Rattus norvegicus: one gene and its partner. The protein of the gene in region 1 interacts with the protein of each later gene in a biochemical or structural test. Links are inferred from orthologs where the notes say so. Each region holds a gene or a part of one and is shown on either strand. Other genes may lie near its edges.

What was found. The genes of interacting proteins can lie anywhere in the genome.
Region 2: of the proteins of Srpk2 (region 1) and Hnrnpc, one has a biochemical effect on the other in vitro, tested with the Homo sapiens proteins (2 studies listed by BioGRID and IntAct). The link is inferred for Rattus norvegicus from reciprocal best matches to the Homo sapiens genes SRPK2 and HNRNPC.

What each region holds. Positions count from the first base shown.
Region 1 is NC_086022.1:12,523,472-12,527,259, reverse strand, and holds part of Srpk2 (SRSF protein kinase 2), read right to left. Parts: intron 2,721-3,788; coding exon 2,555-2,720; intron 1,467-2,554; coding exon 1,441-1,466; intron 237-1,440; coding exon 1-236. UniProt on the Homo sapiens protein: Serine/arginine-rich protein-specific kinase which specifically phosphorylates its substrates at serine residues located in regions rich in arginine/serine dipeptides, known as RS domains and is involved in the phosphorylation of SR splicing factors and the regulation of splicing.
Region 2 is NC_086033.1:27,280,449-27,284,336, reverse strand, and holds the start of Hnrnpc (heterogeneous nuclear ribonucleoprotein C), read left to right. Parts: upstream 1-1,621; 5' UTR 1,622-1,775; intron 1,776-2,359; exon of another isoform or gene 2,360-2,396; intron 2,397-3,888. UniProt on the Homo sapiens protein: Binds pre-mRNA and nucleates the assembly of 40S hnRNP particles. Interacts with poly-U tracts in the 3'-UTR or 5'-UTR of mRNA and modulates the stability and the level of translation of bound mRNA molecules. Single HNRNPC tetramers bind 230-240 nucleotides.

The DNA of each region.
Region 1 (3,788 bases):
GCTGTCTCTTCCTCAGTTGTGTCCTCTAACTCGGCCTCTTTCAGTTTCACCTCAGGCTGGCATTCTCCATCTTGCTCACTGGAAGCTTCTGCAGAGGTGGTGTTCTCTTCTAGGATTTTCCTTTCGGCTTCTCTCTCCAATTCCTCAATCTCCTGCAGGCGCTTCTCCAGCAACTCAGCCTGCCTCTTCTGTTTCTTTTTTAGCTTTTTCTTTTTGTTTTTAGATATTTTTCCTATCTACAACATGGTAAGAGAGTATGTGTCAGGCGGGAGTATGACACCTTGGATCAGAAAAGCACTCTTTAAAACACTCCTTACGAGTTGAAATGTTGGTAACACAGTAACTGCTTTTCCAGGACACACTCAGCTTTCCTCACTAACCCAGCCACGAGAGCCACCTCAGGGGAGGACTGTGCTCACACGGTTAGTCTCCCCTAACTTCTATGAGGAAAGTAGGAGAGCTGAGCTCCGTGAAATACCTGGCTGTGAGCAAGAATCTTCTCTTGCAAGCTTTCCTTGCTGCTGGCTGTATCCAGAATCCTTAACGACAAAAACAAGCACCTGCCCAGACCAGTGCCAACAGCACTGTGTCTGCATGTGGCTCTGACACCAAGCTGTGAACACCATGGACTTTCAGAAATCAGTAGACGATAGAAAGAAGGGAAAAAAGGAAAAGCCACGGTTTTCTGTGCCTCAAGCTACAGCCATAAGTCTTGGAAAGCCCTGGCTAGGAGGGTCTGCAAAGTTTCTCAGACCCATAAACCCAAACCTAAGGCTCAGGGGAGAGCTATGAACATGATCTGGGGGCTGGAGAGATGGCTCAGTGGTTAAGAGCACTGCCTGTTCTTTCAGAGGTCCTGAGTTCAATTCCCAGCAACCACATGGTGACTCACAACCATCTGTAATGGGATCTGATGCCCTCTTCTGGTGTGTCTGAAGAGAGAAGACAGTGTACTCACATACATAAATAATTTTTTTAAAAGTGATTTGGACTCCCCCGTAACAATTCAGACTTGGAACTGTCTTGATTTGACAGGATCACAGAACAGATAATGATCCTTCTCACTTAAACAGCTAGCTATAAAAAATTAAAATGTTTTTTGGCAAAACAGGATACTTGGAGGCCAGGCAGAAGTCATTTAAAAAAGATTCTGGAACAATTAGATTTTAAATTTGAACTAAAGCCTTGCAATTCACCGAACTCAGCCAACAGCAGCCAAGAGAGCCCAGGGGGAGACTGGCTTTGACTGTTCCCGTCCACAGCAGGAAGTCATGCCCTATATAATGACAGAGCATTTACAAACATGCGCCTCTAAATTAGTGAAGACTATGACATTTGCTACACAGTTTGTGCAGCTCAGGAACAAACAGTCCCTCCTGACATGCTGGCCACACGTAAATACGGTCCCTCCTGACATGCTGATCACACGTAAATACTTACAGGTTTCTGCTGTGGAGCCGTACTCACTAAAACAAAATAAAACAAAACGGATGATCAGAGGAAGACAGGCACTGTTGGGTAATTTGATTTGCAAACTGAGATAATACTGCCTTTTAATAACTACCCAACTTTGAACAACTTTCACCTCAGAGATTGCTAAAGATAGGAACCTGGCAAAAGCTTATGCAATTCAAACAGACTGCGCAGCTCCAGGCCGCAGGAGACGCTGTGCACGTGAAGCACTTTTCTTGCAAACAGCCTCTCTCAAAGCACTGACAAAATAATTACAGAGGAAAAGAAAAAGAAATGGAAGAGCTTACAAGCCAGTCACATAACGGAACATGTTTTGCATATGAGGCAATGGACATGCTAGCTAGCGAAGAAGGTGCACAGCCATGTCTGAAGACTACACGGAAAGCACCACACACGTGAACTAGGGCACACAGTGCAGCACACTGTGCAGTGGCTCCAGAACTCGGCCTGGCAGCATCAGAAGCTTCATAAACGGGCTGCGTGAGGTGAGGTGATGACATCACCATGGTGCTCGTGATGAGGCGGCAGCGCTTCTTTCTGGAGCCCTGTCAGTCAGCCAGAGGGAAGCACACCCACTCCAATCTCCATCCCAATCTCCCCAATGAAGCCTCTCAACTTCCCAAGAGAAACGACGCTAGTGCTCATGTCCCTGCTTCCCTTTCTAGCTCCCCACCCTGGAGCTTCCACAGCCAACACCAAACTATTGGCTAAACTGAGATGGAAGCAGGTATAGTAGTTAAGGAAAGAAAACATTTGTTATAAAACCCAAATCAGGAAAAAAAAAAATCAGAAGTCTGCAGGTCGGCTACAAGAAACTGGTCGTATACTCTCCATAGAAACTTGGACCACACGGGAGCGTGCACCTACGTGATGAAGCCTTTGAGAACGAGCAAAGGTAACAGAAGACAAAGAGTTAAAAGAATGAACTCAAACCTCATCTTAAGCAAAAGCATCTTCAACATCTAAACTCTTAGAAAAAGTTCCTAATGCGTATGTGCACGTCAGACACACGGCCTTCACTAAAGAGCTTTAGAAGCTCACAGCCCCAAGCAGACAGAGCAATGAGGGCTCAGCCCCTCACCTGCAGACCCAGAAGGAGGAGGAGCACCTGCTTTCTGCCACTCCGTAGCCTCGGCCGCCATTCTCCGCACGTACGCGCCGTCCACACACATCAGGATGTTCTCCGGCTTGATATCAGTGTGGATTATCTTGCACTTGCTGTGTAGATAGTCTAAGCCCTGAAGGACCTGGTCACGGTAAAGCAAACAGGACCCCTAGTGCTTCAGTCCATGACTTACTAAGCCTAAGCCATGCAATGCCTCCATATGCAGCTGGAATACACTTTAGAGACATTTACTCTAAAAATGGAGTTTCCTCACAGGCAACCAATGTCATCACTTCAGAATTCAGTTATGCTCGCAGACATAATGCCCTTGATAAGAATTTTATATGCAATAAGTCCAGGGCTTCAGAGCTTTGCCAGAGGCCTTAGGGTCACATGTATCTTACCACTGTCTCCAAGCCCAGTTCCAGTATACCGGTGTCACAGTACACAGTGCCCAGTACACAGTGTCACCTCTGTGGGCACAAGGTACACAGTGTACAGACCCCACAAAGGCAGACATTCATACATAGAAAATAAAAGCGAATGCATCTTTTAAAATTTCAAATCTACATTATCGCGTTTATTAATATGATACTACCTAATTCAGAACATCTGCGTCAGTCCATAAAGAAATCCCACAGACATGAGTAGTGGCTTCCCCTCTCCCTCCACCTCTGACAGTCCTAACCACAAGGCTATGTGCCTGACTCATGTAAAGAGGTCTCTGTGCTCGGGTAAACATGTCCAATGTCCATGCACTCATGAGCCTGTGAGTGACCCAGAAATCAACAGTAGATGGATTCCTTAAAGGCTCCCCATCCCCCTACCCACTTTTTTTAAATTGAAAAATACTGGTTTTTCTTACTGAACCTGGAACTCACCAATTTGGTTAGAATGGCTGCCCAGTAAGCCTCAAGAAGCCCTGTCTCTTCCTCACCAGTGCTGGGATTTCAGACACACACCAGCACACCAGGCCTTTTAGATCTAAGGGCCCGAGTTCCGAGTCCCAGAACCCTATAAAGGCCACCCTCGTCCCAAGTGCTCTTTTCTACCTGGCATCATGACGGAGGCACATGCTGGGTAGCACACACCAGCTAGTCACTTCCTGTATTGCTGAACAATGTCCCCTCTGCAGACACATGGCACTCTTTAAGGATTACTCCTTCTTATTTAGTATGTGTGTGTTTTGTCTGCATGTATGAATGTGGCA
Region 2 (3,888 bases), on another chromosome or scaffold:
CATCCTGTTCTTCTTTTTTCTTCATGTCATTTTCTCCAAGTCTTTTAGAACCTGCATAGTCTTGAAAGGTCAAAACACTGCCCACGGGAAAGACACAGTCACCACCTGTGTCAGAATAAAAGTCAAGACCAGAAGTGGTTACACTATCATCGGATCTCAGCATGCTGAGGGCAGAGGTAGGAGGATCACTGTGGGATGGATGCCAGCCTGGTCTACATACAGGCTGCATAGTCTGACCCTGACTAAATAAGTAGCAAAAAAACCAAAGCGAACTTCCTGCTTGCTACTCTGGTTTGGATTCAGGTGCACCTCCCTCACCAAAGCCAACTTCTTTACAGAACTGCTTTGCCTGTGCTTAGGAGCTCTGTCAGAGGAGATCATTGCGTGTTTGTTCCTAACACCAGGGAAGTGAAAACAGAAGGAACCTGGGGTTCAATGGCCCGCAAGCCTAGCCATGAAGGGCTTCCCATTTGTCTGTCTACCTACCTACCTCTACCTAGGTACTTATATTTATTGTTTTTTCGACAGAGAGTTTCACTATACAGCCCTAGCTGTCCTGAAACTTGAGTAGACTGGCCTTGCACTAGAAATACCGCCTAGCCCAAACCTTTCTTTAAAGAAAAAAAAAATAAAATAAAATTGGGAACACATAAACTCGCTGGACTGGAACATTTAAAATAAATCCTTTGAAAATGTCAAAGGTTTAAAGGTCTAAAGAAGACCTAAAAGATTATTTTTTATTTTTAAATCAGGAAATTTCCTGGGGTACTCTTTCCCTTTCTCAGTAGGCTATATACATTTTTGGCCTGTTTAATGTTTCTACAGTGTAACCAGAGCTTTACTGGCCGAGCTGAGGGGGTTAAGTAGTATCAAGCTATTGCAGGAAGTGGGAAACTGAGGCGGCTGGCCATTGGTTTTGCAGATTGTGTGACGACTTGGGCCCAGGAAACGGGTTTATAGGGGTCTAGGCAATTGCTCTTATAGGAGAGAACTATGGAAACCAGTTGGTTTGGAGGGAGCTGTTCACTGACAAGGCCACGTCCTTCCAATAGCTTATAGAATCTGGCAATGAGAGGGGATCTGAATTTGAAAATAACTGCAGACCTGTTTAGTTTTTAACACTTCAGGCGGCCTAGGGATTACGATCCTCCCTTCTCTAAAGCTTGTTTGCACTTCCCTTTTTTTCCAAGGCCTGAGGCTAGGGCAGGCCCTTTGCACCCGCTACCAGACTCCACCCAGGCTTTCCCACCTCCGTGCCGCGGAAATGCGGTGATCTGGCCGGACCTAGGATCTCTAGGAAGCACTGATAGGACGACACGGCCGTCAGTCAGGTCCGCCGGATACCCGGATGAGAAGCTGTGCGCGATACAAAGGCGAAAATTCCACCCAGCTTTCCGTCTGGTACAGTGACCAATAACCATCCGTCAGACACTAAGTGATAGAAAGCTTAACCAATTACTAAGTAGCTTTTGTTACGCATGTGGAAATTCTCCCAATTAGCCCAACCCACCTCGTGTGATGATTGGACGGAATTGTGAGGAGCGGTAACGCTATCTAATTAGGAGCGGGAGCGAGAAAAGTCACAGCCAATAGAAACGCCTCCGGGAGCGGGGCGGGGGCTGGACTTTTGCCTCGGCGGCAGAGGAGCTCGGGGGCCATTTTGTGAAGAGACGGAGAGCGAACGGTCGTGTGGTTCCTTGCTGTTGTAGCTCCGGCTTCTCGGCGTAGACCCGCAGTAGGAGAGGCAGGCTCTTCTCTCTCTCTCCTTCCTCTTGGTAAGCGGAGAGGGCGAGGGCAGGGGAGGCCCTGGGTTGCTGGGCCCCGCGAGGGGGTTGTAGGCGAGAAAACGGCCTCGCGGCAGAAACCGAGGCCGCGTTTGTTCCTGTGCGTTGGGGATTGGGTCTAAGGCGGGAGGCAACAGGCCTCGGCCTTGGCGCAGGTTCAACCTAGTGACCTCTAGGCCACGGTGCGTACGAAAATACCCTCTTTGCGCGCTGGTGTTTAACGGCTACTTTCATTTCCTTCCCCCATTAGGATTCCAAGGGGGAGCAGGGGAGCAAGAAAGCGAAGAACGAAATGCTTGTTAATGTAATTGTAGTGAATCTCTTACTCCGTTATTGTCTTCTAAGCTAAATGTCGGGCGTGGGTGGGGGAGCGATAACATGGTGGTGTAGTACTGGAAGCTTCTAAATTCCAGGCCGGCCACATGGCATCTGAACGGCGTTTTAACAATAGATTAAGTAGTGATTACTTTTTTCTTCAAGGGATAGATGGGTAAAAGTCGGGAGTGCTTTTGGTTTGTAAAGGGAAGTGCCCAAGGTAAATTGTAATTGGAATAATTACAGCTTTTTATCTGCAGGTTACAAATCACATAAGTTAGTGGAACTTTGCTTGAGGTAGGTACTGCTGTCCTAGAGAGAAGTGAGACTTAAAAGTGGTTGACAGGACCGGACTAAATCAGTAGTAGAGAAACTAAGATATTTCTAGGCAGGTCAAGTTACTAGAATAGACTATACACAAGAAGAGACTTAGCCGGTAGGTGGTGACAGTGCACGCCAAATGCCTCCCACCACTTGGGAGGCAGAGACAGGCAGATCTCTCTGAGTTGTGGGCCAGCCTGGTCACAGAGAGAGAGTTCCAGGACAGCTCGGGCTACACAGAGAAGCCCTGTCTCAAAAAGGGGGGTGGGGTGGGAATGAGTTTTTCTTTTTAGAGGAACCTGATACCGAAATTTACAGGACATTTTCAATCTGGACTTGGGAACAATAATTAAAAGGCACAGAAATAGTTTACAGATACTCCAGTATTAATCCTACCCATCTAGAATGGAAAAAAAGCAGTTTACAGCTAGTTATGGTAGTGCAGGCCCGGAATGTTTGCATTCTGGAGGTTCAGAGACAGGAAGATCCTGAGCAAGATCCCATTGCAAGGCAGCCCAGGACTACATAGTAAAACATGTTTAAAAATTAAAGTAGTTGCTCTCTTGTAGGTGTTGAGTTCTTTTTTTTTTTTTTTTTAGATTTATTTATTCTATATAAGTACACTGTTGCTGTCTTCAGACACACCAGAAGAGGGCATCAGATCTCTTATTACTGATGGTTGTGAGCCACCATGTGGTTGCTGGGAATTGAACTCAGGACCTCTGGAAGAGCAGTCAGTGCTCTTAACCCCTGAGCCATCTCCTCCGTCCGAGTTCTTTTAAATATAGCTAGTGATAGTGCTTAGGATTCAAGATGCCCAGGATTCAATCTCCCATACTAATAAAGGGTTTTTGTGTCACATTAACTTACCTGGGAGTTATTTCATTAGATAAACTTATTATAAAATTGGTATTTCACTCTGGCACAGTTTTTAATCTCAGCACTAGGAAGGCAGGAGATCTGAATGTAGAGTAAATCTAGTAATTCTAGGACAGCCAGGGCTATACAGAAAACAATGGGTTTGATTAAGTGACAAAAATATGCTACTAATCTTAGTTTAAACTATACACACATTTTACTCTTAAGCATACTTCATGGAATGTGCATGGCCTACTCTTGTAATTTGAGCACTTGGGGGATAGAGGTAGGAAGAGTTCAAGGCCATCCTTGGTCCAGCTTGGAGTATTAAGACTGTCTAAAGAAGAACAAATGCAGACAAAGGAAAAAAAAACAGCCTCCCACATTTTTTGTTTGGTTTCTCTGTGCAATAGGCCTGGCTTTTCTGAACCCACTGTCTTGATTAGGCTGGCCTTGAACTCTGATCCACCTGCCTCCGCCTAAGTAAGAGATGGGATTAAAGGCATGTGCCTTTAAAAAGTAGATAGAGTACAGGGTTTTGCCTGGTGAACAGTGAAAACTAGGTAAGAGAAAGTATTATAAATGTCAGAAGTTATGCAAGGTTACTGGT